Linked DNA regions of Caenorhabditis elegans. The protein of the gene in region 4 interacts with the protein of the main gene of each other region in a pairwise test. Each region holds a gene or a part of one and is shown on either strand. Other genes may lie near its edges.

The links.
Region 1: the proteins of hsp-17 (region 4) and ttr-24 interact in a two-hybrid assay, tested with the Caenorhabditis elegans proteins (one large-scale study listed by BioGRID).
Region 2: the proteins of hsp-17 (region 4) and cpb-1 interact in a two-hybrid assay, tested with the Caenorhabditis elegans proteins (one large-scale study listed by BioGRID).
Region 3: the proteins of hsp-17 (region 4) and atp-4 interact in a two-hybrid assay, tested with the Caenorhabditis elegans proteins (one large-scale study listed by BioGRID).

What each region holds. Positions count from the first base shown.
Region 1 is NC_003283.11:18,552,975-18,560,466, forward strand, and holds ttr-24 (TransThyretin-Related family domain), read right to left. Parts: upstream 3,670-7,492; 5' UTR 3,580-3,669; coding exon 3,420-3,579; intron 2,833-3,419; coding exon 2,705-2,832; intron 2,625-2,704; coding exon 2,487-2,624; 3' UTR 2,413-2,486; downstream 1-2,412. Other genes in the region: Y51A2D.8 (Cysteine proteinase), read right to left, coding at 245-325, 727-872; ttr-25 (TransThyretin-Related family domain), read left to right, coding at 3,814-3,973, 4,715-4,842, 4,911-5,048; ttr-26 (Transthyretin-like family protein), read right to left, coding at 5,892-6,032, 6,086-6,213, 7,136-7,301.
Region 2 is NC_003281.10:9,319,190-9,328,005, forward strand, and holds cpb-1 (Cytoplasmic polyadenylation element-binding protein 1), read left to right. Parts: upstream 1-3,120; 5' UTR 3,121-3,126; coding exon 3,127-3,541; intron 3,542-3,584; coding exon 3,585-3,947; intron 3,948-3,994; coding exon 3,995-4,105; intron 4,106-4,152; coding exon 4,153-4,243; intron 4,244-4,300; coding exon 4,301-4,640; intron 4,641-4,688; coding exon 4,689-4,904; intron 4,905-4,958; coding exon 4,959-5,105; 3' UTR 5,106-5,724; downstream 5,725-8,816. Other genes in the region: C40H1.9 (Fungal lipase-type domain-containing protein), read left to right, coding at 851-951, 1,256-1,316, 1,364-1,479, 1,529-1,593, 1,641-1,758, 1,797-2,088, 2,135-2,244, 2,288-2,474; C40H1.7 (Fungal lipase-type domain-containing protein), read left to right, coding at 5,889-5,980, 6,027-6,099, 6,143-6,264, 6,517-6,581, 6,629-6,746, 6,791-6,923, 7,176-7,328, 7,377-7,552 and 1 more; cepr-104.1 (CEntrosomal Protein Related), read right to left, coding at 8,118-8,340, 8,623-8,816.
Region 3 is NC_003283.11:6,423,528-6,430,620, forward strand, and holds atp-4 (ATP synthase-coupling factor 6, mitochondrial), read right to left. Parts: upstream 3,586-7,093; 5' UTR 3,584-3,585; coding exon 3,341-3,583; intron 3,016-3,340; coding exon 2,869-3,015; 3' UTR 2,719-2,868; downstream 1-2,718. Other genes in the region: urb-1 (Nucleolar pre-ribosomal-associated protein 1 C-terminal domain-containing protein), read right to left, coding at 1-59, 107-169, 221-463, 512-628; T05H4.11 (DUF4706 domain-containing protein), read right to left, coding at 1,181-1,367, 1,415-1,495, 1,544-1,628, 1,678-1,772, 1,828-1,916, 2,221-2,316; alh-4 (Aldehyde dehydrogenase), read right to left, coding at 4,399-4,428, 4,519-4,657, 4,703-4,832, 4,880-5,196, 5,255-5,352, 5,514-5,646, 5,697-6,178, 6,227-6,385.
Region 4 is NC_003283.11:8,383,020-8,390,610, forward strand, and holds hsp-17 (SHSP domain-containing protein), read right to left. Parts: upstream 2,909-7,591; 5' UTR 2,896-2,908; coding exon 2,849-2,895; intron 2,539-2,848; coding exon 2,301-2,538; intron 2,040-2,300; coding exon 1,875-2,039; 3' UTR 1,789-1,874; downstream 1-1,788. Other genes in the region: F52E1.5 (Chondroitin proteoglycan 3), read left to right, coding at 246-569; F52E1.14 (ZP domain-containing protein), read left to right, coding at 925-1,101, 1,150-1,249, 1,408-1,547, 1,594-1,788; gcy-7 (Guanylate cyclase), read left to right, coding at 4,337-4,384, 4,433-4,623, 4,734-4,843, 4,919-5,166, 5,210-5,321, 5,367-5,492, 5,536-5,648, 5,738-5,857 and 8 more.

The DNA.
Region 1 (7,492 bases), about 10 Mb from region 4:
AATTCGAAATCTACGCCTCAAATTACCCCTGTCCCGAAATTTTCAACGCTTTAGTGCAATTTTGCGTCAAATCTGGTGTTTTTGGTTACTGTAGCCTAGTGTTTGTGGACCTTACACCCAATTTGACGGAATTTTGCGCTAAATTTTTGAAAAACGGGGTTAGTGGTTATTTGCTACGTAGAATCCGAATTTCGACTCGAAATTTGAAAATTCTGAAGTTTGGGCCATGTTTTTTTTCACTTACTTATCGACATTGTTGTAGGATTTTACGAAATTATTGAATCTCTGCTGATTCTCCGACTCGTCCTTGTATTTTCGGTTGTACCTGTGAAAAATTATGTTTTTTTTCTCAAAAGTGGCTTAAAACGGCAACAATAAGATTTCTGAAAAATTTTAATAGAAATGTTCAATTATTTCTGAAAATCGAAATTTCAACACTTCAAAACCATTTTTTTTTTGAAAAATTATGTAAAAATTCGAATTCTCCACCCAAAATTACCCCTGCACCCTATTTTTCAACAATTTCGTGCGAAATGTCGTCAAATCCGGTGTTTTGGGTTACTGTAGCCTGGTGTTTGCGTACCCGGCACCCGATTTGACGGGATTTTGCACTAAAATTCTGAAAACTCAGGCGTAGGGGTTATTTGCTATGGGGAATCCGAATTTTTAATTGATTTTTCAAAATTTTGAAGTTTGGGCCAAGTTTTCGTTATTAAAAAAACTCACTTTTTTTTAAAATCCTCAAAAGCCTTGTAGAGCTTCTCCGGATGGTCCCGATCGATATTAATTTCAAAAAATTCGGGTTCTGTAATATTGATGGAAACTACCCCTGAAATGGGTAGAACCACCAGGAAAATCACGAAAACTTGCATTTTCGCGGCGAAATTTTGATTGCCTCGGGCTACGGTTGGCTTTTAAGCTTCCGAGTTTTATGGCCGAAATCGTAAAATTTTCCACTTTTTCGGGGGAAAAAGTTGGAAAGATCGGGGTGATTCTGCACATTTCGACATCGAATTTGTTGGGGTTCTTTTATAGATTTTTGGTGTTGACAGGGGGTTGAAAAATTAATTTATGAGCAAGTTATTGAAAATTTTGATTTTTTTCAAGCCTTGTTACATGAAAATTTGGAATCTTCATAAAATTTCCGTTTATTTGACCCCCATATTGGCTATATTCGAGGAAATTTGAATTTCAGACCAGTTTTAGGCCGTTTCGGGCTTTTTGGAGCCCAAATATCAATACACTCAGTTTAATGCCAGTGCGTTTGTAGTAATTTGCCAACTTGTATAAGGAACTACTAAATTGGTTATGTTTGCGGAAAATTGAATTTCAGACCAGTTTTAGGACAGTTCAGGCCGTTCTAGGCTTGAAAACAAATATTGACGGGTATATGTCGATAATTTCAGCAAACGTTTTTGAAAAATTTGAAACTGTGAAATAAAAGTTATTTAAAGGAAAGTTTTGTATTTCAGGCCATTTTCAGGCTCCGGGCCGTTTTTTGCCCAAAATTTCAAAGTTTGTAGAACATAGCCAATATGGGTTTCAAAACTAGGCAAATTTCATGAAGAACACGAATTTTGAGTTCATATTTCTCAAAATTTTACCGGGTGTCCCCGAATGTCCCATAGGTGTCCCATAAGTGTCCCACTCGTGGTTTTCAGGCTATATTTGTCAGAAGTTGCTCTTTTTTTACAGAAACACTTGCATAGATGTAGTTAAGCGTTTATATTGCAAATTAAAACATGAAAAATGGTTTAATTTTGAACGGTTCAAATATTTTTCCAAAAAAAATTTTTTTTTTAATGTACATGGCAATATTTTTTATATCATTTTTATGGATTTGACATTTACATCGGCTATATTTCAAGAAACTGGGCTTGTCGAAATGATTTGGACCGATTCGGGCCGTTTCAGGCCGTTTCAGGCCTGAATTTCTAGATTTTCTGGAACTGCGTTTTCACTTTTAGGTTTTTCTTATTACTGCAAAATTTCTACACTTACCTTGACCTAAATTCGTGGTGCTCATATTTCAAGTCTAGAACGGCCTGAAATGGCCTGAAATTGGCCTGAAATTCAACATTTCATTGTTATGCAAGTTAAATCAAAAGGCTGAAAATTATCTTGAAGTTTTAGGTGAAGAAAATCTATTTTTCAATAAATTTTGAGTTTCGGGCCAGTTTCAGGCCGTTCTGGGCCGTTTTTTGGCCAAAACGTCCAAATGTTCAGAGTATAATCAATATGGGTGTTAAAATTTTGCAAATTTTATGAAGAACACGAATTTTACATTTTTATTGTTTAAAATGTCCCCTGGTGTCCCCGAATGTCCCATAGGTGTCCCATAAGTGTCCCTCTCATGGTTTTAGGCTATATTTGTCAGAATTTGCTCATTTTTTTTACAGAAACACTTTAAAAATTGTAATTAAACGTTTATTTTATGAAAAATGCCAATTAAAACATAAAAATTATCAAAAAATTACAAAAAAAGTTTAATGAATGCAATCAGTGCCCTCTCCTGGGTATCTGTTAGCCAAATTGAGGGTTCCGATGTCGAAAAGTTGAGCTTCTTTGGATCCTTTACCAACTGCATTTTTTGGAACATGAATAGTCACTTTTTTTGGGCAGAGCTGAAAATTTCAAAATTTTTGAATTTTTTTTAAATAGGAAAAAAATCGAATTTTTTCAATTTTTTTCTCCAAAAACCTACTCCAGAATAGTTGCATTTATGATAAATATTGATTTTCGGGTCAATCTTGCGGATTTTATTCTGGGATCCCGAGACCTTGAATGTTCCATCAGCAATTGTTTTCACCGAGTCCATTTTCGTGTCGTAGACTGCAGAAAATTGTATTTTTGTGAAATAAAATGTTCAAAGTTAACATTTTTGTTGTTAAAACTAGGAAATTCAGATTTTCCAGGTCAAGACAAGAATTTTGACACCCATATTGACTATGTTCGGACAAATTTGAATTTTGGGGTGTGTGACCGCGACGCGACCGCAACGCGGCGAAAATTGAAATTGCATTTTTCATGCTTCAACGCGGTAAGTTTTTGAGTTATGATTAATACAACGTCTTTGTTCAAAAATGTTTGCCATTGTGGAGCTTTACAATAATTTTTGCATTTGACACGCGACGCGACCGCACCGCACTCAAAAAACCAAAGTTATCCGAATATAGTCGTTATGGGGGTCAAATAAAAGCTAAGAACGTCAGAAATACAAAAATCGTAATTTTGATCCTTAAAAACGAACTGCTCTAATTTTACGGTAAATAGTGACTATTAGAAACCGCGACGCAACCGCGCCGTGCCCTAAAACCAAAAATTGTCCAAATACAGGCAATATGAGTGCCAAATTGAAGCTAACAGCGTGGTGAGACATTTTCAACTTGAAAAAATCGAATTTGAAACTTTCAACTTACTAGTTCCATCCTCGAAAAGCTTCACACGGACGTCTCTAGCCGGTGCTCCGTTACAGACCAGTTTGCCGACCACAGTGACCGTCTGTTTACTCCCAACAATACCTCCCAAGGCATCAGTGAGCAGAAAAACAGTGGAAATGAGCAGAATTTCTTTGAACATTGCTCAGGAGTCGACCGGGAATCGATAAGAAATCCAGGAAAATGATAAGAAATCAGGGAAATCAGACGAGATGAGAAACGGATAAAAGTCGGCGATTAGGTGATTATCTAACGGAACAGTTGTTGTTTAGTGTAAACATGCCGCTGGGGACCAGAAAAACATGTTTGTCACCCGAAAATCCCATAAAAACCGGGAGCAAAACTCACGGAAACTTCCTGAGAATCTGCTCAAACGATGCTCAAACTTTGTCTGCTCTTCCTTGCGACTTTAGCCGTGGCTCACGGGCTCGGCGGAATTGTTGGTAGAAAGCAGACGGTTACTGTAGTTGGTAAGCTCACTTGCAACGGCCAAGCTGTGAAGGATGTGAAGATCAAGCTGTATGAGGATGGAACTGGTGAGCCATTTTTTTTTCCAGTTTTATGTTTTAATTTGTGTATTTTTGAAATTCTGACGTTCTTAGCTTTCATTTGACCCCCATATTGCCTATAATCTGACAACTTTGGTATTTTGAGTGCGGTGCGGTCGCGTCGCGGTTTCTAACCGTAACATTAGAATAGTTCGCTTTTAAAGGTTGAAAATACGATTTTTGAATTTTTGACGTTCTTAGCTTTTGTTTGACCCCCATTTTGCCTATGATCAGACAACTTTAGTTTTTTGAGTGCGGTGCGGTCGCGTCGCGGTCGCTCAAGTTCAGAAGCAGTCGTAGCAACGAAACAATCAGTTTCTGGAAATCAAACGCGTGTATTTCCTTAATTTGTAGTTTATAGCTCTCATTTAACACCCATATTGTATATATTTAAAGACATTTGATTTTAGCCATGCGTCGCGGCCGCGTCGCGGCCGCTCAAATTTGCAAACAAGCGTATCACTGAGGACTGTGCACGTTTGAAGACATAAAAATTTCAGTATCACTAATACAAACTTAGAAATCTCAAATAAACATTAGTTTATTCAACATTTTGAAGCAAAAAATCACCGTGCGTTGCGGTCGCGTCGCGGTTTAACCAAAATCTTCAAAATTGCCGGAATATAGACAATATGGGTGTCAAATTGAAGCTATTGACGCCACGAGTTTGAATTTTGTAAAATCCTAGCGATCTGATCATTTTTGGAAGCAAAATGCCCCAAATTGCAGTCTATGACACCAAGATGGACGTTACAAACACATTGGCAGACGGAACCTTCAAAGTAGTCGGCGGCCAGAATAAAATTCGCAAGATCGACCCAAAAATCAATATTTATCACAGATGCAACCACGTCGGAGTGAGTTTCAGCGAAAAATTTCGACTTTTTTTCAAAAATTTTACTGAAAAAATTCTCAAAAATTTCAGCTTTGCCCGAAAAGGGTTACCATTCATGTTCCGAAGAACGCAGTTGGCAAAGGATCCAAAGAAGCTCAACTTTTTGACATTGGAGTTCTGAATTTGGCCAATAAGTACCCAGGAGAGGGTACTGATTGCATTCATTAAACTTTTTTTTTGGAACTTTTTGATAACTTTTATGTTTTAATTGGAATTTTTCATAAAATAAACGTTTAATTACACTTTTTAAAGTGTTTCTGTAAAAAAAATGAGCAAATTCCGACAAATATAGCCTAAAACCACGAGAGGGACACTTATGGGACACCTATGGGACATTCGGGGACACCAGGGGACATTTTGAACAATAAAAATGTAAAATTCGTGTTCTCCATAAAATGTGCAAAATTTTAACACCCATATTGATTATACTCTGAACATTTGGACGTTTGGGCCAAAAAACGGCCCAAAACGGCCTGAAACTGGCCCGAAACTCAAAATTTATTGAAAAACAGATTTCCTTCACTTAAAACTTCAAGATAATTTTCAGGCTTTTGATTTAACTTGCATAACAATGAAATGTTGAATTTCAGGCCTATTTCAGGTCATTTCAGGCCGTTCTAGACTTGAAATATGAGCACCACGAATTTAGGTCAAGGTAAGTGTAGAAATTATGCAGTAATGAGGAAAACCTGAAAGTAAGAACGCAGTTCCAGAAAAACTGGAAATTCATGCCTGAAACGGCCTGAAACGGCCCGAATCGGTCCAAATCATTTCGACAAGCCCAGTTTCTTGAAATGTAGCCGAAGTAAATGTCAAATCCATGAAAATGATATGAAAAATCTTGCCATGTACAAAATTTTCCAAAAATGCTTGAAATCTCAAAATTTAAAAAATTTGAAACTTGAAAAAAATTTTTTTGTTTTGGAAAAAATATTCTAACCGTTCAAAATAAAACAATTTTCAAAATATACAAATTTGTTTGCATTTTTTATACATATTAAAGCCAAATTTTTAATGAATACAATCAGTAGATTCTCCAGAGAACTTGTTAGCCAAGTTGATAGTTCCAATGTCATAATTTCTAGCATTTTGTCCGCTTCCGCTGACGACAGCGTTTTTTGGAATGTTGATGGACACTTTTTTCGAGCAGAGCTGGAAAAATTTGAGTTTGAAATCGAATTTTTTTTTTGAAATAAAAAACTCACCCCGTTATAATTGCACTTGTGGTAAATGTTGACTTTCGGGTCGATTGTTCGGATTTTATTTTGATCTCCGGATACGCGGAATGTTCCGTCTGATCCAGTCTTTACACTGCCCATTTTGCTATCGTAAACTGCAAAAAAAATTTTTTTTTTTTGGAAAATTTTTTGATTTTCTGAAATCTGTTAGACTACGATAGTTTTGAGTGGAAAATTTGGATTCTCCTAAAAATTTGCAAAATTTTGACACCCATAATGGCTATATTTGAGGAAGTTTGGATTTCAGGCCGGGCTCAGGCCGTTTCAGGCCGTTTCAGGCCATTTCAGGCCGAAGCTTTTACGATTTTGTTTACAATTGTTTTTGACCCATAGTTTTAATAAACAGTATACATTTAGAGCTCAATCTTCGTAAAACTTGATTTCGGGCCAAAAAAGGGCCTGAAACCGCCTGAAACTTAACCACTCCCGAATGTAGCCGATATGGGTGTTAAAACAACGGAAATTTAGTGGAAAAATTGGTTTTTTTAAAACTAAAACAACGCAAAACATCAAATTTATAGAAAATTTGAAGAAAAACACTTTTTTTTAAAAATTTTTTTGGGCCAAATTTCAAATACCGCTTGTTTCCAGCATAAAAGATGTTAAAAATTAGCTTAACCTCTAAATTTGCAAAAATTTAAAACCCATATTGGCTATAATTGAGCAAGTATGAATTTCAGGCCGGTTTCAGGCCGTTTCAGGCCGTTTCAGGCCGTTTCAGGCCTTAAATATTTAAAATTAAAACCAGTTCAGATTTTCTTAGTGTTTTAAAATTATGACAACTACTTCTTAGCATTTTGAATATTGAGCCTTATTCGGCCTAAAACGGCCTAAATCTGGCCTGAAATTCGTGGTGTGTCGAATATAGCCGATATGGGTGTCAAATCAACGGAAATTTCATGAAAAATTCAACGGTGTATATTAAAATGCCTGAAAAGTTCAAGTTTTCGAATTTTTTCCCGAAAAAAAAATTTCGAAAAAAAAAGTTTAAAAAAAATTTTTTTTTTCTAAACTTACATGTTCCATCCTCATACATCTTGACAAGTACATTACTAGCAGGTTGTCCATTACAAATAAGCTTTCCAGTTACAGTAACCCCCTGCTTGGAGCCAATAATGCCCAGCAGGCCGTCAGTAGAGATGACTAGTACGGAGAAAATGGCAAAAAGTTGAGCGGAAATCATAATGTTTTGGGTGATGAGGTAACCTGTGTTGGTTACTCGTTCAATTTTTACCGTTTAAATACCCACCGATGAGTCAATAGGCTCCGCCCACTTTTTCATAAACAGTTATTTCGAAAGGCGATGAACAAACACGTCACTTTTTGGGAAATAGCGCGGATTTTTGAGAGATTTTTTGGTAAATGGGCGAATTT
Region 2 (8,816 bases), on a different chromosome or scaffold from region 4:
TGGATTCTATTTCGATATTAATATTGCAAATTGGGGAAAGGATGGGTGTCCAAAAAATACGACTGGATATTCGCAGCCATGAAAAACTATTTACACATCTCTCATATCTTTTTTATTTGAATAAATGAATTATTTTTAACATAATTCTTTATGATTTAATTCTCTAAATGATTTGAAAAATTTCAATTTACCATGATTGCCGTAATTTTTTGTTAGTTTTAGATTTTTGTTTTTTGTTAGTATATTCTTGTTGCATTGCCTAAACCAAGTTTTGCCCAACTTTTGCGAACTTTTGGAAAAAGTCGATATTCTTTGGGTCCACCGGAAAATGTTCAACTTGATCAACTTCTTCCATACTTCATTTTTTCTGTTTTTTTTTCAAAACATGAATCATCGAGATTATCAATTTATGGAGGAAACAGTGTGCAAATAGTGGCACCAAAAAAACGAGATGTAATCAAAAATAACTTGTTTTTCAGGTCACTCTTATCGCTTTTTGAAATAAAGTATCGGAAAATAATTACATTTGTTGATATAAAATCTTCTTTAGACTGAACCTGAAATTTGAACAAATATTTCTAAAAAAAAGCTGGTAAAAGTAAAAGTAATTATTTGTTGAAAAGATTTCAGTAAACCTAAAGTTTAGTGTTCTAGTCAACCAACAGGTCTGTTTGAATAGATGAGTACATACACACAACGTGGTATTCATATAAAACTTGTTTTTCTTCATTCTTATCACTTTCTCATTGACCATTAGTCTTGAAGAGTTGATCGAAAAGAAGAGCCGTCCTGGTATCATTTTATCATTTATTGTACTCATCATTGTTGAATTTTCTCCAAACGATCAAAAATGATAGTTTTATTTCTGCTTTTTCTTATTTCGCTCGGAATTTATCCATTTACATCAAGTTCTTCGTTAGACTGCTCAAATTGTGTTGGATCAGGTCAAGTGTGAGTTGCTTTGAAGGTGTAGTATGTTCAGTTGGGGTTCAGTACAAATACTTTTATCATGGTACAGGCGAATCTTCAAAGTTAAGAATTTCAGATGTTTCAAAATTTTCAATTTAGGTTGTGGTAAATTGTCAAATTTTTCAACAATGTAGAGCGTCCGAGCTGAGTTCCACAAAATAATTTTTCAATAGTGAATAAAATTTTGATTGGGCTTTAGGGCTGCAAGACTAATTTTTGAATGGCCTATAGCTGACAAAATCTTGATTTGATGTCATTAAATCAATATTTTCTATTAAACTTTCAGATGGTGTGTTGAACAGTCTCAGTGCAATTCAAGCTTCGTATCTTGCAGTACAAAAATCTCGGTGAGACCTGATACTCATATATAGATGAACTTATTCAACAATTCCAGCTCCAACTAAATTGCCCCACAAAACCGAAAGTTCCATATGATGAACATTTTGCACGTACTCAAATGTTGGCTCTAGCCTCGGCTTCCCATAATGCCAATCCTCAGCTGTGTCTTGAGTAAAAATATGAGCAAGCTTCAAATAATTTCAGTATAAAATAATTCCAGCAACCAAATTCCTACAATGAAGCTTTACAAAGTTCGAACTGTGAATTGTTCAACAGACTACCCTGGTATGATTCAATATAGTAATATTTATCAATTTTTTTTTGTATAACAGATGTGGCATGTTATGGATATACTGCTTATGATGTCACTCAAAAAGCTATTGTCATATCTTATAGAGGATCTCATGGACCGAACCAGAACAATCAAATACTGGAAGGAATGACTCGAGAGTATGTTTTGATTCTTTTTTTTATTATATTGGTTTCAGTGGTCTTCATTCATACTTTGGCAAAGGTACAGGTAAAATCTTCAAAGTGATCTACGATTCTTTCATGCTCCTTTGGAACGACAGGATTAATCAAGATTTACGATATTTGAAGTACAAGTACCCTGACTTTGAGTTATGGTTAAATGGGCATTCACTTGGAGGAGCCCTTTCATATACTACAGCTTCATATTTAACAACAGTTGGACTATACAAACCAGAAAATATGAAAATCATTGTTCTTGCTCCTACGAAAATAGGAGACTACGATTTTGCAGCGTGGTATTCGTCCACAGTGAGTCTAAAATTTCAAGTTTCATGAACATTTGATAATTTTCCAGTTTTCATATTCATTCCATATAATTCACCGATTGGATCTTATTCCTAGAGTTCCAGCAATTGACCCTCATACCAATACAACTGTCATGTTTCAACCAAGAACTGAAATTTGGTAAGTCATAGTACTTGAAAGTTTCGATTTGAATACTCTTTAGGTACAATAACTACATGAGATTGAATGACACATATCAAATTTGTGAAGAAGCCGATGGAGACTACTGTAGTGATGCAGTTACAGAAGGATTGAATATGAATGATCATGGATTCTATTTCGATATTAATATTTCAAATTGGGGAAAGGATGGGTGTCCAAAAAATACGACTGGATATGCTCAACCTTGATAACCTTTCAATTTTTAATTTTGAGAAAGAATGAATATTTTGAATCTAAAATTTTTTAAACCGAACATTGTTCTGTCAAATTTATTAGAACTTCTTCATGAATTCCTCGAAACGAAAATAAAATTCTTTCACGCAAAAATTAACACGTGAAATACGTGGAAAGTAGGCCATGGGGTCAGTGTCAAGTTTTGCCACGCACACTGTTCAGTGTTCTCAAAATTTCTTTAACCATGCTAAAATACTTTTTTCCACAAGTTCGCTTTTTTAAATTTTTATTCAGAGAATAATTTTTTCGTATACGAATTTGTGAGAACATTGCGGTTCTTGTCATAATATTTGCATATAAGAATGTTCAAAATTTAAAGAAACTTTCAGTTTTTTATATTTTTGTGATTATAAACGCGATTTTATGTGTTATCTGTGATTTTAAATTTGGCCAAATGTGTGCAAACAGATTTATTATAGTCCTTTTCGAAAGCTTTGCTTTCTATTGCAGAAAAAAAGCGAAAATCTGAGAAATGCAAATGCGCTCTGCTGCACTGCAAAAAAAAAGATTTTTAAAGAGCAATTTTTCATCGCTTTTTTGTCTCAATCTTCTAAATTATTGTCTATTTTAAATAATTGAATAACTTTTAAAACTATTTTCAGAGAGATGCAGTATCAGCTGAGTCCAAGTGGGGATTTCAAGACATCTGCTCCAGTTCGATCGTCTCATGGCCATCGCCGTTCAACCGAGTCAAAAAAATCGGGAGGACATGGAAATCCATATTTGTCTACAGACAAAACGAATCTGGATATCAGTGTATCATTTTTGACTTCGCAGGCCCAGAAGAAAATGAGAGGAATGTCGGCGAATCATGGAATTTTCGACCCCACTGAGATGCTGACTGCAGATGATCCCTCGAATTATGGATACCAATTCTTGAACCACGCCACATTTTACAATAACATGGATATAATGCAAGCAGCGTCTGGAGATGTTCCTCCGTTAATGAGTGTCAATCCTTACAAACAATCATTTGACATCAATGATGCTTCCGCGGCAATGAACATGGCTCAATTTGCTCGTTTGTTATACTCATGTTTTCATACCTATTGTTGAATTTTCAGATACGTTGAATGCAATTCAAAACAGTTCCTATTCAATGTCTCATTATAACCAAGCACCTATGCAGCATTTCATTTCGCCCAACAGTTTTCATGTATCGTACAACCAGCGGTTCCCACATATTAAAAAGAATGCAACGCACGCGAATCGTATGGTAGAAATAAAGAAGATCAACGGACACCGTTACATGGAAGTGACCGATCCCCAAGCCGTATCTGCTCCACCAGAATACAAACGCCTTGATGGGTCACTAATGGGCGTATCAAAAAGTTGTTTGGAGGCCTCGAAAAAACGTCCGATTTCAGCTGAACCGCTATACTCCCGCAAGGTTTTTATTGGCGGTCTTCCAATCGACGTCTCAGAAGGTATTTTGTGTCATAAATTATTATTCTAATTTTCTGAAAGTTTCTAGAGCAAGTTTGGGCCACGTTCGGAGCTTTCGGGAAGGTGCTGATTGATTGGCCTCGTCGCCCGGAGCACAATGCAGAACGAGCTGAACAGGAATTGAAAAAAGGAAGCGGTTGTATGTTATATTCGTACACATCATCAACAAAGATAAACTATTTACAGCACGCGCTGTAACGGGATATGTTTTTCTCGTTTTCACTCACGAGCGGTCTGTCCAGGAGCTAGTCAATGCATGCGAGTTTTATGAAGATAAGTTAGTGAAAGATTGAATTTTCATAATAATAATAATAATAATATTGCTATTTTTAAGATACTACCTTCAGTTGTCTTCTCCAACGATGACCGACAAAGCAGTCCAAGTCCGGCCTTGGCGTCTTTCCGACATTGACTACTTCTGTAATGACAACTCTTCGGTCGATCATCGTCGCACTGTCTTCATTGGTGGCGTTCCTCGTCCGACCCGTGCTCAAGATCTTGCACGTTGTCTTGAAGGTCACTATGGAAAAGTGTCGTATGTGGGAATTGATATTGATCCAGAGTTGAAATACCCAAAAGGAGCTGCCCGAGTCACTTTCTCAACTTCTCAAGCATTTGTTCGCGCCATATCGGGTCGTTTCGTGCAGGTCAATCATGCCGAAAATAACAAACGAGTGAGTCGAGATTAGAACTAATTGAGTTTTTTAACTTCACAATTTTAGGTTGAAATCAAGCCGTATGTGATGGAAGAACAATACTGTGATGAGTGTGAAGGAAGATTGTGCAAGCATAACTATGCTCCATACTTCTGTGGACATGCTTCCTGTCTTCAATATTACTGTGAAGGTTGTTGGGATCGCATGCATATTGGAAAGAATGAAGATAACAAGCTCGAAGATCAGCATTATCCAATGGTGCGCACTGGAGATCAAACAAGAGTCAGTTCTAATAAAATAATATCTTTATTGTATTCAGAAGTATTTTATTTTCAGCTTCTCAAGCATCTTCCACATCGCTCCTCTGGTTTTAAGCCTGCTCCAGTTTTCCATCCATCTAGCCAATCTACTACGGCAAAAATCTTAGCGTATGGAGATCAGTCACAGAGACAGTTTTCTGCCACTCCCTCCTATAGTTTCTGAGACTCTTATCTCACTAAAAAGTATTCCACCGTTTTATCCGCACCCTACCACCCCCTTTCATATTTTTAAAGTTTTGCCTTAATATTCCGAGAATTCTGCTCAATTTTGAAACTCTTCCTTTTCAAAAAGAAGTACCATATTTTCGTGTGAATCTCTCCGTGCAACTCTACCATTCCCCTAGATTCCATTGTAAACTTCAAGTAATCATGTTAAATTTTCATTATGTAATATTCTCTTCATGTTTTATTTCTCGTCTCTTGACATTTCCCCCAACATGTTTCTATATTATTATCAATCCCTGGTACCCTATATCTTGTGTATTTATGTACATCCCATTCTTAGCCTATCCGAATTGGCAGAATTTTGTAATTTCCTTTAGAATTTTTTATTTATTGCCCGTATCCCACAAAGTTCATACTCGATCAGAGATATAGCTTAGATAGTTTGAATTGTAGCTATCATTCAGATTAATTATATTATTTATTGTCACCCCGTGATATTTAGTCCCCCATATTTAACCCGTTTTTAATTTTCCCGGTTTTAAAATTGCTCCGAACATTGGCTTTATAATTTTTTTGTGACGGAAGAAATTTCCAAATAAAGTTCTTTCACCAACAAAGAAATGTTCTAGAAGCAAAAATCATTGCCGCATCTTTTGCGAATTTTAAAGTGCACGTACTGATAACCCCACCTCCTCCCATCAATTTCCGTGAATCGAAACTTTGATTAAGTCCACGCCTTATCGAATGGCTCATTTCACCTCGAGGTAAAACTCTTTGAAAGATGACAGCATCCCCTGCAGCTTACCTTTTGCTTCATTTATTTCTGAGACTTACAGCTAAGACTTGTTGGCAGTGTTTACAGGATGGAGGACAGTTAGTTTCAAATGATGTTTGCGAGGTTTTGATTGAAGATTTTCAGATTTTGTTTAGATAATAATCAATGCATAGTTGATGTGTTAACAATTGAGACAAAATGTAATAGGATAGTTGATGTAAGTCTGTGGGCCCAATAAAAGTAATAAGAAACAATTTTAGCTTCCAATAAATTGTCCATCTGTACCAGCACTACAGTATGCTTATGACGACGATTTTGTCAGAAATACAGTTTTACCTGTTATAGCTGCAACCGGGACAGATAATCCACAAAAATGTCTTGAGTGAGTTTAGGAAAATAGTTTATTGCCAAGAAGCAAAACAAATTTCTAAGAAAATACGGTACCCGGTCTCGAAGCGATCGCTTTTTTTTAAATTCAAAGGAGCGTGCGCCGTTAAGGTGTACTGTAGTTGCTAACTTTTCGTTGTTGGGTAATTTGAATCGATTGTTTATATTTTTCGATAAAAATATATTTAAAAAAATAAAATACTGAAATAAAAACTAATAAGACAATGTTCAAAATAAGAATTTTCAGCAACCAACTTCCTTCTATGAAAGTCTATAAACGGCGTGAGGCAAACTGCTCCTCACTTTTCTCAGGTAAATCCAAATTTTTCTCGGAATTCAATCATACTGCTTCGTTTTAGATGTAACTTGTTCTGGATACACTGGAATTGATTTCGACCGAAAAGTAATCGTTCTCTCGGTTCGTGGATCACACGGTGATCATCAATATTATGATTTGTGGAAAATCGGAAATTTTAAGTTGGTTTTAACATATTTTACTCTTAAAATCAGATTAATTTCAGTGGAACAGTCCCATTTCTAAATATTGGAAGAGTTACGAAGAAGTTTAATGACAACTTTGAATCATTATGGTATAGTGGATTGGGTGAAGATTTGCAAAATTTGATTGATGCCTATCCGGATTATCAGTTATGGGTGGGTAAAGGGTTTGAAAATTATTAAGTATGGATGTATAGTTTAAGACAGTACAATAAACACGACAACATGAATATTGCGGGAAGTCAAGGTTTGAGTTGTGTGACGTCACACGAAGTACGGTTCTTGTTATTAATTTAAACCTTAACTTTTAAAATGTTGGGAAGTGAAGTTTCAGTATCACGAATTCTTAAAAACATTTCGTTTCATTTTCAACACCTGAAGTGAATCCCCTCAACCCCAGAATTTCAGATAACTGGGTACTCGATGGGTGCATCAATTGCATTACTTACATCTGCATTCATTGCTCAAACTGGAATGAGCTCTCCTTACAATATGAAAGTAATTTTATTTGGATGTCCTAGATGTACAGATTATGATTTTGCAATGTGGCATAGTACCAACGTAACGAGATAAATAGAGAACGTCTAAGTTTAAAAGTTCATATTTCAGTTTCCATATTCTTACCACATTATCCACGCACATGACTATGCACCACGTCTCCCTTTCTTTGATAATATTGATAACACAACACTTTATCACCCACGAAGTGAAGTTTGGTACAACAATGATATGCGTGAAGGCGACTCTTTTGTCATTTGCGAGCAAGCAGATCAACCGTTTTGCAGGTTTTCGCAACATTTCTTATCAGCAACTATCAACAAAAATGTTTGATTTTTTCAGCAGTCAGGTGCAGAACCTGTCAAATGCCGACCATGCACATTATTTTAATATGGACTTGTACAGATGGTCAGCTGATGGATGTCCGAAGAATAAGGAAGATTACAGGCCAATTGCAGAGAGTGCGGTTAAAAATGGGAAGACGTTCAGTTATGATCTTTTGATTGTGATATTGGGTGCTGTAATAATATTTTTATAAAAAGCATAATATGTACACCAAGTATTTGTCAATAAAAATATATTCTTATTATTACATCGGAACTTTTAAAAAGTTTGCATTTTCAGGAAAAATGTACTACAAATTTGGAAAATACAATAAATGGGGGACAGAGATATAGATAAATAAATAATTCGCAAATTGATAATTCATCAATAATCGTGATCCAATTACCGTATTTCATTTAACAAATTATACTAATTTGACAGCACAGATATCAGTTCTTTTTTTTTGACACGACAAGAGAACCAAGAAATGAACTGCCACAGTTAACTGCAGTAGAAAAAACACAGTATTCAAGTCTCCTTCTCAATATCCTTCAATTTCTTCTTTTTCTCTGCTTTCTTGCGTTCTTGAATCTCTTGAAGAGCCACCACCAACTTATCGGCGTCGATCATTTTTCCAGGATATCCTGTATTATTCACAACAACTTGTTGCTGTTGCCGTCTTATTTCCGCTTCTTTTTTCAGTCGCTCTTCTTCCTCCATTTCACGCTTCTTCTTTTCTTTTGCTCCAAGTCTGAAAAATTGGATTAAAGGTGTTGTAGGGTCAGTACGGATGTTTTCTGCATTCAAATAACAAAATAATAAACTCTTAAAATCTTTGCATTTTTTGGAAACTTTGTTCATTGCTTCAAAAAATGAAAGTATAGGGAAATAAGTGAAACTATTTATAGGTGCACATCACGCTCAGCGGACCACATAACTTCATATACTCGCTAAACTATTCATTTCGAAATTAATTTCAAGCCCTGATTTTCAGAAAAGTACCACCACAGAAACTAATAAAACAAAAACATACAAAATATCTTCTTGCTCTTGTTTCATCTCCCATGGATCTTTTTCTGGACCATCTCTCCGTTGATTATTATAACAATTATTTAATAAATGTTCTCTCCAATTCTCTTCATTATCCTCCACTGCAATTGTGCACAAAGGACACCATTGTGCTCCTGTCGGGGGACGTCTTCCACGACACATTGGATGACTTCCTCC
Region 3 (7,093 bases), 2.0 Mb from region 4:
TTGAAGAATCGAAGTACAAATCGAACATCGTAGATTTTTTCAGAATTTTCTTCTGTCAGCTAAACAAAAACCATGAGATAATATAATTTGTGATAAGATAACTTACCGGCCGAACATGATATTTAGTAGTATTCCAAAGTGTTGCTGCATCAAAAAACGTCTTAATTGCCTGAAATTAGGAAATTAAATATTTATTTGAAAGATAAAAAGATTCATTTACATCGTCTGGAGTAATTCTAACATGCAGGTCGAGTCCCATTTTCCGCAGATTTTCATAATTCTTCCTAGCTTCTTCGCCGAAAACAAGTGGTTGTAAATCGCTGAAATCTGTTCCATACTTCTCAAGACTTTGAAGAATTGCAAAAATGCTCATATCGAGCTCACAGCACGTTGCTCGGTAGACAGTGAGCAAGCTTGCGAGCACTTTCAAATCGACGTCTCGAACTTTTTCTTGTGTAGATATCTAAAGTCTTTAAATTATTATTATTATCATCCTTAATTTCTACCTTACGTCGTCTTTTATATCATTCAAAAGTTCAACGAGCTCTGCCAATTCTTCTTCATTCGGAGTCCAGTCTACCTCGCCGAACTTGGCTAGTTTTGCCAAAATCTTTTTTTTCGTGCCCATCTGGAAATATGTTTCAATGCTTAAATGTTTAAAGTTGATCTATACAATTCAGGTACTTATGGAAGAAAACCACTTGGTCAATCCACACAACGTTTTAATCAAATCATTTATTCGTTGAACGGCATTGGATGATAAAATGGAAATAAATAAAGTTTCTGCAAATTGAAAAAAGGCAATTGAGAGATGAACTGAAATTAAATGAAAGAAAGGCACATTAAATTTTAGAGTATCGGCGAAAGGAATGAAATGGGTTGAGGGAAAGAGATGAAAATTAGTGGAATGGTAACTTTAATTTTTAAAAAATTTTGGAGATTAGGAATAAGGACATGATTTACAATAGAACAAGAGTAAATTTGATCAGTAAATGAAATACGAACAGAATTTGAGATAAGACAAAACGAAATTATATATAGAATTGCGGGGAGACGAATAGATGTTCTTCTTTGGAAGACGGTTGAAAGCTCTTGATAGTAGATAAAATCCGTTAATCGGTCAGTTTTTGCATTGGGATTTGTGAACATTGTAGTTGTTGCTTCTGCTGCGTGGTCTTTCTTAAAATTCGACATCACTCCAAAAGTCGGATCCCTTGGCCGTTACGAAATCGTTTTCTTCTTCTGATTTTGAAGCTCGACGTGACCTGCTCACTTTTTGAGAATTTGTGCATGGTAAGACACCTTTGAAAGCATTCTCGACCGCTTCGTTGTCGTCCAAGAAGAACTCTTGAGGACTCTTTTCGTCTCTAGAATAATTCATTTTAATATCGGGCATTTTATCAGAAAAACTCACTCAATGAAGGGTGAAACTATTTTCTTTTTTGTATCGAAGCGGAGAATGCTAGCTAAGCGAAGATTGCTCAATGACGGTGAGCTAAAAAATTTAATTTTAAAACAACATAAACCATCAAATAATCCTTACGTAACGATTTGAGTCCAAGCAATTCGCATTCCCTGCTCGGCAAATAATTCGAATGGAACCGAGTCATCCGATTCGTCAGAAGCATCTAAAATACGCTTATTGATAACTGGATTATTAAAATTTTAATTTAATACCGCTCAACTCGAGTTCCTTCTCATTCGAATCGAAGAAGTTGCACAGCGAGAGAAGCTCCTGTTCTCGTTCACTTCGAGTTTCTTTGTCGAGATTGCTGGAAAAATGGAATTTTAAAAAATAGTTTTAATAAATTACAGCTTGAAACATACAAGCAATCAGCGACGAACGTCCATTCCTGATTCGTTTTACCAACAAATTCGGATGTTGACTCCACAGTTTGTGTTTCAAATCGGACACTCTGCAAAATACGTTTATTAATTAATGAGTTATTATTCATACTTTTATTGCTCAGGAAATGTGTTTCTTTAAATGGAAATCTTACCAGATCATAAGATGAATGCCATAGAGAAACTGTTCTTGTTAAAGTATTTGAACAACGCATAATAACCACGTAGCAGATACGCAAAAAAAAAAAGAATCCCTATCTTCCGACGAGCATCATGGGGTCACAATGATGTCATATCGAACGGTTGACCTTCCAGTCTTCCATTAGAATCCCGCCTACACTACTTCCCATCTTATCTGTTACATCAGTAACGAACCTTTCGCTTCGTGAGCTCTCGTTTCTGGACATGCGATATTTGTCGTTGTGAGTTTACAGAGACTCTGGTCGATGACTCCTTTGAAAATTCGACCATCTTAAATATTGGAAATGGAATTTTAAAAATGCGTGAGAGAAAAAAACACAAACCTTTTATTAATTTTGAAATGACTAGAGTTTTGAATCCATTTCGGCGGAACGAAAACCTGCAATTTGAAATCGTGTGGTATATGAGTAGCAAATAAAAGGTCGTCTGTCGCGTCTGCGCAATGGTGCTGGGTTAGTGTCTGTGTGATGACGTAGGAGGCTTGCGGACAGACAGGTCTGCCTAATGGTGCACCCCAAATCGGCAATGGGGTGCCGTTCAAAAGAGTATTCACGGGTTGGGGAAGAGTTTGAATATGTTTGCTCGTAGAACAACTGTACAACCCATGATTTGATTGAACGAGTTTAAAATGGCTGATAACAAGCCACTTTATCGAAAAATTTTGAATGAGAATAATAAAAATAAGCTTCGTGACTAAAACAACAAAGTTTACAAAAGAACAGAGAGAAATTTCAAAAATTAAGGAACAAAAACGTTCATTCGGTCTATAGACGATCTATTACAAAAAGAAACAATACACCATTCAAAATCGAGAGCTTAAATTTATTGCTTGAGGGCAGCATTACGGGCGGCTTGTTCGGCTTTCTTGGCATCACGGGAGGCAACATATTCAGAGTGGTCCTTCTTGACTCCTTCAAGAAGCGAAGCCAATGTTTGTCCTTCAAGAGCGGATTGAACTGCAGAGTCAACCTGGAAACGAGCATTTTAATGTTTTTTTTTAACTCAGCACTTGGAACAGCCTATTAATAATCTAAAATTTATAAGATATACATTAATCGGGTTACTTCTGGTTCTCAGATTATCAAATATATTTACAAAAACAAAAGCTGATTTTTTAAAAATTATTTGAAACTATTTTGGTTATTAATCGACAAAAATAAGGATGTTTCTTTAATTTACTTCGATAATTCATTTAAAAATTGTTCAATCGAGCGATACTTTTGTAACTGAAATTTTTTTTAGCTAATTTTATTTTTTAAATAAATCTTTGTTTGTTTGTCTTCATTTATATTACCTTAGCAGCTTCAAAGTTAGTTGGGAGCTTCGAAACAACATCGGCGTTGGCGAGCTGGAACTTGGTGGCCAATCTGTTGAGCTCTTCCTGGAGAGCCTTCTTAACGGCTGGATCAGAGTTAGCCAGGTTACCGGCGTTCTTGGCGATTTCGCGGATCTTGGTGACGAAAGTCTGCTGGATCAAGTCCTGGCGGCAAGCCGCGGTGGTCGAAAGAGAACGGACTGATTGGACTGCGCGGAACATACCTGAATATAAATTTAGAAATTGTTTTCTGTTCAAAGGATGTTTATAAGTATCGAAGAAAAGGCACCGGAAACCAGGAAAATCAAACAAAGCGCAAAATTCCACAAAACAATGATTTATTAAAATATTTACAAAAATAAACATACTCAAGAGAGGGGAGGAAAATTTAAAAAAAAAATGAAAATGAACGTTTGGCGGATCAATGAAGATTGCGAGCATATTTCTGAAAATATCGGGAATGAAAATTAATAAAATTATTGCTTTAAATTGAAACTACACGAATTTTTAATATTTGGGGACACTTTTCATGCGGGAATTGGTTATGGACTAGAGTTTATGGAATGATTAGAAGATCCGGTGAAAAAATTGACTAGGAATTTGTGAAAAAAAAAAGAAGTTAAAAAATAGGGCGAGACGGAAGAAGAATAGTGGTGTGAAAGTACGTAAGAGTGAACATTGACCGCACGACTAGTCCGCAAACACCGAGCCTACTGTACGCCATTTCGCGTTTGCCACCTCCACCAGCATGTCTCGATTTTATGCCGAGAAGCGGAAAATGAACTGAAACTAGTATTATTTTTTCTGTATTTATTTGTTATCGAATTGGTACTAGTTAGCTGAAGCATAAAAACAAAGGATGTGAAGGACCTTCGAAACATAAGGAGCCTTTGGAGGTTACAAACGGGAAATATCCGTACAATAACTGATTTGAATAGTTTATTGTTAGATGTTTGGACATAAGTTAGTGAGGCAAATTGGAAAGCAACAAAAATATGTGAATATGATAAGCTAAATATCACGTATTTTCGCAGTAATTAATCATCCTGTACATTTCTAGAACATTTCTGAAAAATTGTACTGCGATTTGTGAATTAATCTAGTGAAGCAGGTGCTGACTGTGTGAGAATCTATTGAGCTGATTTTCCTCTGCATACCTGGAAGAGCATTCCAAAAACGAATGAGGCCATTACGATAGGAAGAGTCGCAACATTCATCAGATTCAGAGAGATTCGTTTTCCCGTGAGGCGTCGCATTTGATCGAGCTTTTGTTGGCTTAGTGGCGGGTAACGAGCTCTGAAATTAATGCGATTAGGTATCGAAGGTTCGGAAAAAACGTACGCTAAAAGAGATTCTCCGAAGAATCCTCTGTGAAGCACAGACTTTTCATGGGTGAATGTGTCAAATCCATACTTTCCACGGTAACGTCCCATTCCAGAGACACCTACTCCTCCGAACGGGAGAGTATCAACTGTAATTCAAAAATTATTCAGATATTTTAAAATTAAAATAGCATACCAGTAATGTGCATCAACACATCGTTAACAGTCACACCACCACTGCTAGTCTCATTCAAAAGGCGTTTAACTTTAGCTTCATTTCTTGTGAAAATGTAAGCAGCCAGAGGCTTCTCTCCATCAGCAATGTACTCAAGCGACTCCGAGAAAGACTGGACAGTGATGATGGGCAGGACTGGACCAAAAATCTCATCATGCATGAATGGATCAGATTTCTCAACGTCAAGGACAGTTGGAGGGATGTAGAGATCTGCACGATCACGTTCTCCACCGATAAGAACAGCTCCTTGAGTTTTATCGAGAAGCCCAGAGATGCGACTGGAAGAAGAGTTCAGATTAAATTATATAAATATTGTAAATAGTTAAATAAACTAACTCGAAATGTCTCTGATTGATCATTCTCGCGTAATCCTTGCTTGCTTTCACATCCTCGCCATAAAATTCGTTCACATATTTGCGGATTGCGGCAACAAGCTGAAATTTTTGGATATTCTTTTTGTAGTCTAGTTAGCTGTAGGGTGCGATATCAATAATTGTTTATCAAACAGTTTGTATCTCTGTCATCACCAACCATATCATTGATCAAAAATGGAGGAAAAATCAACAAAAAAATTAATTTTTTAACTAAAACTGACCTTCGGCTTCACAGTGCTATTCACAAGAATGTAGTCTGGTGCCAGACAAGTTTGTCCGCAGTTCAGCCATTTTCCCCAAGCGATTCTTTTAGCAGAAATATCAATGTCAGCATCATCTTCAACAACGACCGGGCTGAATTAATTAAATTTTGAAATTGTTCAAAAATCAATCTATAGACTTACCATTTGCCTCCCAATTCCAATGTGACTGGTGTCAAATGCTTTGCAGCTGCTGTCATAATAATTTTGGCAACTGGTGGGCATCCGGTGTATAGAATATGATCGAATCGCTCTTTGAGCAAATCGGTAGTCTCTGGGATACCTCCGTTCACGACAGTCACGTATTTTGACTCGAAATACTTTGGAATGAGCTTCTCAAAAGTTGCGGCAACATTTTCGGACAGTTCGGATGGTTTGATCACAACTGTATTTCCGGCGGCAATTGCTGGAACCATTGGGAGAAGGATCATAGAGACCGGATAGTTCCATGGGGAGATGATGAGTACAACTCCTTTTGGATCTTTCTCAATTACTGGCTTATCGAGAGCAGTTGTGAAGGTCTTCTCAACGTGGGTTGGCTTCACCCAGTCATCAATGTTCTTCAAGAAATAGTCAATCTCTTGAATGGTCATTCCGATTTCTAGAATTTCAGTGGATTCATGGCGCTGAAAATGTTAGAAATTTGAATTTTATACTTGAAAATTCTAACTTACTCTTCTCAAATCCTTCCAAACAGCTTCTGACAAAGCCTCGCGGTTCTCCTCGATAAACTTTTTAAGTTTCAGAAGTTGTTGTTTTCTGAATTTGACTGGTTTTGTCTCTCCTGTACGGAAGTACTTGCGTTGGGTTTCCACTAGTTCGGTGAATGCCATTTCTGAAAAATCAGCAATGAAATTGAAGGAAAATTAAATTTATAGCGAGCGTTTTCAGAATGGTCAACGTGACCTTCAAGGGTCAGCCTGGGGTTATATACTGCCTAGTTATCATTATCAAACGCAGTTGCCTAAATAAATTTTCTGGTAGATGATGTATGTTTCATGAAGGACAGAGAAGGCGGAGGGGGGCAAGTCAACGAAAAAAAAACGATATTCGGAGACGAGAAGGAAGCGGTCAGAATAATGATGATCACATGACGACAGTCGCGCAAACAAGTAACCAATCATATAGAGAAATGCCAAAATATTTTAATCGCCGTTAGCAAAATATTTCGTGAAATTGAAGTCTAGAAAACTGATGAAATCTAAGTTTCAGTTATCAACTGCCGAAATTTGGAATGATGATTTGTTGGAAACGTTTTTGTCTATAACAATTTAGATGTATACAACTCATTGAAACATTAAAATACGTTCAGTATAAGAATTTACGCAAATCTAAAAACAATAGACATTTTACAAAGTTAGTTAGGTTTGAATGATGTCACTATTTCTATTTAATTGGGAGGGTGGAGATTGTTTTCGGGTATAGTGTGAGATCTAGGCGCAGTTCAATTCAGTGATCAACTTGTGGTCAAGTATGTAGATGAAACTTCATACGACTTGACTCATTTTATAGATTGATCTCAAGTCTAATCTCGAAAAAAT
Region 4 (7,591 bases):
TTTTGCTTCTTCTCCAATGTAGCCATTATTTTCTTCTCATCTCTTTTTTATTTCTGTTTCGTTTTATTTATGTAATTTGTTTATGTAACCACTTGTGATGGTTTGTATCTATTAATGTGTGTTCTTTTTTTCTCTACCTCACGATATCTTACTATCGTAATAAATTAAATTAAATTAAATTAAATCCAATGGGCATTGCTCCCCCTTAATAGGTACACTAAAAAATGTAAGTCTGTAAATTTCAGGGAAAATGTTTCGGAAGTGAGCTTGGACTATGTGACTGTAATGCTTGCATTACTAACAAAAAGTGCAGCAGTGATTTGGATTGTGGTGGCCTACGAAATGGTTGTGATTCCAATGGAAATTGTGATTGTGTCAATGCATTCCATTCTCACGGATACAAACTTTTCGTCAAAGTACTTCTGACATTCTGCCATCAAACAAAATGTACAAAAACATCAGACAATTGTTATGGTCTTCCATGCCGAGTCGGAAAATGCAAATGTTTTGTTGGTTCTGGAGTTGGCTCAAAACTACCTGTGCATTATTTCAAGCCAGCTGGAAAATAATTATCATTCAATGTAGATAGTCAATAGAAACTTTCACGTAATCATCATTCTTTTCGGGTTGAATAAAATGATAAATGAATGGTGACTTTCAGTTACGAGAATATAATAATTTCTGGCACTTGAATATCAAATCACCTGATAAACGACATGATAAAGTATAAAACATTTCAAAGTATTTCCTGAATACTATTCCTTGTTTTAATCGGATTTTTGACTTTCCACCCACTCTTCAACCTCTCGATAAGTGCAAAGCAAACAACCAAATCAGTTTCAGAAACCAGAAAGTGTCACTAAAAGAGTTACAAAAATTTCGTCTATAAAAGGAAATTGATATGGCTCATTATCAGTAGTAACCATGTGCTCTCGTGTTTTGTTTGTCTTGCTCTCGACTTTTACAGTTTTGGCTGGAGCCAGTGTTACCTGTGATTTGACACAAAAACCTTCTACATGGGCACAAGTACATGCTAAGAATATCTTCTTCAATGCTTATGAGCCAGATAATTATTTCAGTTTGAATGGATTCTGTGTCAATGTGGGTTCAAAATTAGAAAACACTAGTGTTTGATATAAATTGTTATAGAACGACTTTATGTCACATACTCTCACTTATTCTTCCCATGTGAAGCTTGCTGATTCTTCTGTAAAAGTCAAGACCGACGTTGCACTTAATACCAACTTTGGTGAGTTATCTAAAAAAAAACGTCATTGATAGAGAAAGCTCATCAATTATAAATTAATCTGCTAACAGGAAAGAATGAATCTTATCATGTTTAATGTGTTGCATCAGTATTCTAAACTAATTTTAAAAGATTTCCTATCGATTTTAAGAAATTTCCAGACGCTTCACTTTCCAATTGCGGAAAAGATGTATCCCAAGTTCAATGGTGTCAATCTCATTGTCAAGATAAAACACTCGAAAACGTCATTGTATCATCTGCAGTTATCAATGGAAGTCTTCCACTTGCTCTAGCACAACAGGTATAATTTCGTCACTATTTGAAAAGATTTCATGATTAAATTCAAGGTTTTCTCAACGATTGGATCACCAAACGATACTTCAATCGCTTCAATGCAAGTTGATTTAAACTCACAAGGAGTTCGAATCGATTATGATTATTATGATGATTTCAACTTCTGCTCAGTTTATGTGAAAGTGAAGAGGCCATCCATGTTCCCATATGCTCTATTCATTACGGTTCAAAAGATTGTTGGAGTCTAAACAAAATGTTTATATTGTCACTTCAATAATGGAATTGAATAAATATTTTTGAAATAGTTAAAATACAGACACTTAGGTAACTGAAATCAGTTTCTCTTTGGCACAATTGTGATTGGAATGGATTTTGGCTGCTGTTCCTGATTCTTCTCATATTTGACAGTGAGCACTCCATTGTTGCTCAATTCGGACTTGATTTGTTCTGGACGGACCCCTGTTGGAAGGTTATACTTCCGGACAAAGTGACGCTCTACCTGAAAGTATGCACAACGAGGTTTTAGACTTTAGTACAACTTCGTTATAAGCTCGGAAATGAGTTGCTTGGCTTCCTTGTATTGCGTAACAGGCGGAAGGATAATCTAGAACTCTTGGCCTTTATTTTGGATAACTTTTTGCCCTTTTCCGAGTAAGGTTTCAGGATCTTGAGAGCTAATCTAAGGATGCATGAAAACATTTTCAAGTTGCACTAGCTTCATACAAAACTTGAGTTTTTCAAGAAGGAGGGAAACCCTCACCTGTCCATATTTATCAGTCTTCTCGTTATGCTTTCCTTCGATGATTAGCTGATTATCAACAATGTTCACTTTCAACTCTTCTGGTTCAAACTGTGAAACATCTACAGATACATTGTATTCTTGATCGTTGTTCACAACATCAATAGCATCTCCTACTCGGTGTCCAGTGAGCATTGTTTGATCGGCCCAGTATGGTCGGATCATGTGGCGATCAAAGTCGACGTCATCGAAGAATCTGCTAGAAAACTTGTTTGTAGGAGTTTTGTAAAATTTTTAAAGTTAATTTTCTAATTTTCTAATTGCAGAAAAATATGTCAAAATCTCCAGTCTTTATGATTTTTCAGAGCATTATTTGCTAAACTGGAGTACAAAGTCCTCTCGCTAGCTTATTTTTAGAAATCGCGCCAAATTAAATTCTTGTGTATTTTAAGAACTAGCGGCGCAGAGTACAATTTGAGTGACGTCACTTATTAAAGAAGAAAATTTACAGAAAGTTATGTTACTTCAACTATAGAAGTTTCCGAAAACACGAGAATTTAGAAACTTACCGGCCATGGTTAAAGAATGGGGAGAATGGTGGAAAACGACGATCCATTTTATAATAGTTTCTGAAAATCTAATTATTTCAAAGAAACAAAACGAAAGTAAGACAGAAATAGGGGAAGAAGAAGACAAAACTGAGTTGACACTCCCTGCTTTTCTACTACTGCTCTATTATCCTCAATGCAAACAAGAATCGCCCACGGTTTTTTTTACCTCCTTCGAGAAACATCTACTCCGACGAATCATCAAAAAGAAAAGGTTTTAGATTTCGAAATTATTCGAACAAACTGACCAAAATACAGTTCTTTCTAACATGTAATATTTGTTTTAAACTTTAAAACTAATTGTAAGGAAGATTAACAAAAATAAAAAGCAAAACAGCGAGTCAATGATGAAAGTTGGGTGTGGTTGTTTGGATACTTCCCTTTTATCGAAGTTTTTCAGGAATGTATCGAATCGTCTCGAAACGTTTTTTTTGCTGGCACACTTGCTGATAAACTAATGCAGTGACACAGTTATTAATGGCATTGATGATTTCATTCAAGTTTAAACTTTATGCCAGAACTATCTCTAAGTATCATTATATTCTATACTATTTTTTTTTGAATTAGCAATGTAAATATACTCAAACAGAGGACGGAAAGAGAACGTTTGTCATTCAAAACGAGACGAACGGTTGAAGGATTGGATGACTGTTCCCAACGTTTGCAGAAAAAAAAACATTCAAAAATAAAAAAAGAGCGCAGCAGGACAGATGCGTATCTGCAAATTTTTAGATTCGATTTTCATATGATGTGGTGGTTTTCCGGGTCATTGAAATTCGAGAAAGAAAAAAGTTAAAAAGAAACCGATGGGTTGATGATAAGGATATTTATAACATTTGGTTTTATGTGCTCAATGTGCTAAACAAAGTTTAAAAATACAAGTAAAATAGTAAAAAGGAAATAGGAAAATAATGAGGCGTAATGCTAAAGTTAAAAACTATCTTCATTCAGGTTTCCAGTAACGAAAACTCAACAAGAGTGACTCACTTCAACCAGCTGCCTCTCTTGTTTTTTTACCGTATTCAATAAAAAATTTGAAATGGAACTTGTTTAACGACAATAATATCAAAAATTGTAAAATTTGCGGTACTTTACAGACTGTTTCCACGAGATGTCAATGTGATTTGTATCTGTTTGATAAACTAGATTTGAAATCCCCAATGTTTCAGAAATGCGCATAGACTGATCCGATTAATTACGCAATTGCTACCGTAACCTACCTTGTGTCACGCTTTCTCATGACCAACAGATTAATCAAGTCCAAAAGAAGCTTTTTTCTCTTCCGTGCTTTTTCACGTATCAACTGTTTCGGGAGGCGGAAAAATATAAAAATAAGGTTTCACGGATTAGGCGGCAGGCGTAGTAAACTTAAGTTTCTATAAATCCCACCGCCCCTTGTGCAGATATAAAAAGATCTGCTGTCTGCCAGTTTAGCATAAGAAAATAATCATGAAGCCCTTCTATTCAATGTCTCTAGTTTTGTTTTTAGTGATTACGGTAGGTTTTGAAAGCGAATTCCACAAAATAAAAATGATTTTTTTTCAGTTGTTACCTAAACCTATGTTTCCCCAAGTTGCAACAGGTACCACTGGAAATGTGATTCGAGTGGGATTTATTCACTGTAGAGACTTTCAAAGTGCACCTATCACTGTTGGATATCGTACATCTGCAGCAGCAGCTTCAATTGCAGTTGATAGATTGAAAAGGGAGAATCTAATGAGTGGTTGGGAATTCAAGTAAGTAGATTATTTCTAATGCCATACTGTTTTGTAAAAAAAAATAGACAGGCCGGATTGAAGAGTTTTAATAGTTCATATCATCTTGTAAATTTTGAAAATAATTTCAGTTTTACTATTGAATTTGACGATTGCGTAGAATCTGAAGCCGCTGGAATGACTGTTGATCTTATAGAGAAGCACAACGTGGACGTCATCATTGGGCCCACTATGAACCAGCGTAAGTAAATTTTTCAAATGTTTTGGTAACAGTTAATTTTTGGATCCAATCTTTAAAAACCAGTTATGTTTTCAGCTACGCTAGCTGCTTTTATTGTATCTAACTACTTCAATCGACCAATTATTGCGTGGGGTCTTGTAAACGCTGCTCAGTTAGATGATTTCGAAAGATTTCCAAATGCCGGAATTCTGTCGGCGGGGCAGCGAAGTCTCGGAGTTGCTATTCGAGCTGTTTTGAAAAGATATGAGTGGAGTCAATTTGTATACGCTTATTTCACTGAAGAAGACACGGAGAAATGTGTTACAATGAGAAATGATTTACAGGTTTATTACAAAGGTGTGTCAACTTTATACAAGAGAATTTCAGCAAGTAGTATCATACTTTGGAGACATCATTCTTGCTTATTCCATCCAGGTTGCCGACATTTCAAATGATGGAATGATTGAGGCTCTGAAAAAGATTCAATCTAGAGGAAGAAGTAAGATTAACTTAAACTTTAATATTCACATTTCTCAAATTACAGTAATTGTAACATGTATGAAGGATGGAATTGGGTTGCGCCGAAAGTGGTTGCTGGCAGCGGAAGAAGCTGGAATGATTGGGGATGAATACGTCTACGTCTTTTCTGATATTAAATCAAAGGGATACGGTAGGATCCACATGAAAGTATTTCGAAACATTCTTTATTTCAGTTGTTCCATTGCTTGGAGGAGGTGAACGTCCATCTTGGATTCTATCTACTGGGTCTGATGAAAACGACACACGAGCTTTAAAAGCTTTCAAGCAATCCATTTTTATTTGTGACGTAGGTTTTCATTTTTGTAGCCTTATCAAACTAATATATTTTATCTGACGGAAGCCACCCAAGAAGGCCAAAAAATCATGATGTTTCAGATGATGGGACAAGGATCAATTGCAACGAATTATACAATATTCGGACAAGAAATAATTGCCAGAATGAAAGAGGCTCCCTACTTTTGTACAAAGGACTGTGAAGGGGAAAACTTTACAGTGGTAGGTATTGAAGAAGTAAAACTTTCAGAAAAGAAGCGTGTGTTATTCATCAAACTATTAAATTACTCCAAAAATGTAAAACTATCGTTCAATATTTTAGGCTGCCACCTATGCTGGTCAACTGCATGATGCTGTGTATGCCTACGGTGTTGCACTTGATAAAATGCTGAAAGCGGGACAAATAGCCCAGTATCGTAATGCAACTGCCTTCATGAGATATTTTCCTCAAAGTTTTATTGGAATGTCTGGAAATGTTACCATAAATGAAAAAGGCACTCGTAATCCAACTCTTTTTCTTTTGGCTCTTGATGAAAATAATAACAATACTCGAATGGCAACTATTTATGTAGAAAATATGAGTGCGGTAAGATATATCGATCAGTCGGGATTGTCAAAATATATCGTATACATTTCAGACTTTCAACGCTCTTTATTCAGATGAAGGTGTAATGTGGGCATCTAGAAAAAATAACGCTCGTCCTGTTGATGTGCCATTATGTGGTTTTACAGGAAATCTGGTACGAGTGAGCTTCAGAAATCCATAATCAATTAAAATATTTTCAGTGTCCGAAAAGTTTCGTTGATGAATATCTCATATGGGTTATTGTGGCTATTGTTGTTCTGTTTTTGGCAATAACTGCTGCAGCATGTGGAATTTATTTCTCCATTCAAGCAAGAAGACAAGAAATTGAAAGATTAAATAGACTGTGGCAAATTCCATTCATTCATCTTCATCAAATCAATGTAAGTTGAGCAATGTGAATATTTATTTGTAGTACTCATAACTTTTTAGTCCAAACAAAAAGGAAAAGGAGAGCACAGTGTAAGAAGTCTTCAAAGCGGAACCAGCACTCTTTCATCAAGAACAACTGTCTCATTCAAAACCGAATCCAGGAATTTTCTGTTCTTCAGTCTTCAGAGAGAATCCGATTATGAGCCAGTTGTTGCAAAAAAGCATGCGTACCGACCAAGATTAGACGATGATAAGTGTACTTTCATGAGATCGGTATGAATATGGAAGAAGTTACACATTATTCTATAAGAATGTTTCAGTTGAGAAACTTGGATCAAGATAACTTGAACAGATTTATTGGGCTCTGCCTGGATGGTCCACAAATGCTTTCTGTTTGGAGATTCTGCTCGAGAGGTTCTATCGCAGATGTCATTCTTAAAGTGAGCAAATTTCAATTTTATTTTGAAAAATAATATGATTTTTAGGCAACAATTCAAATGGATAATTTTTTCATTTACTCACTTATCAAAGATATGGTTCATGTAAGTGAAGAAAGTTTTTTTTAACTCCAGAAACCGCGAAATTTCAGGGGCTTGTATTTCTTCACGGAAGTATGGTTGGATATCACGGAATGCTAACATCCAAGTGTTGCCTGATAGATGACAGGTGGCAGGTTAAAATTTCCAATTACGGATTACAAGACTTGCGGTCCCCGGAGATGTACGAGAAAAAAGGTTTTATTTATATTCTATTTTAGATTATTAGGATCTACACTACACTAAATAGGGATCTGATAGGATCTGAACACTGTATAATTTGAGAACGTCGATACTTTTTACGTTGCTGATCTCTGGCTCTGGCTTTGCAATAAAATTTTATTTTTGATTTTTCTTGGAAATCACCATATCCACTTTCAGATTTACTGTGGAGTGCCCCAGAACTGCTGAGAGCTGAAGATATCAAAGGTTCCAAAGAAGGCGATGTTTACAGTTTGGGTATCA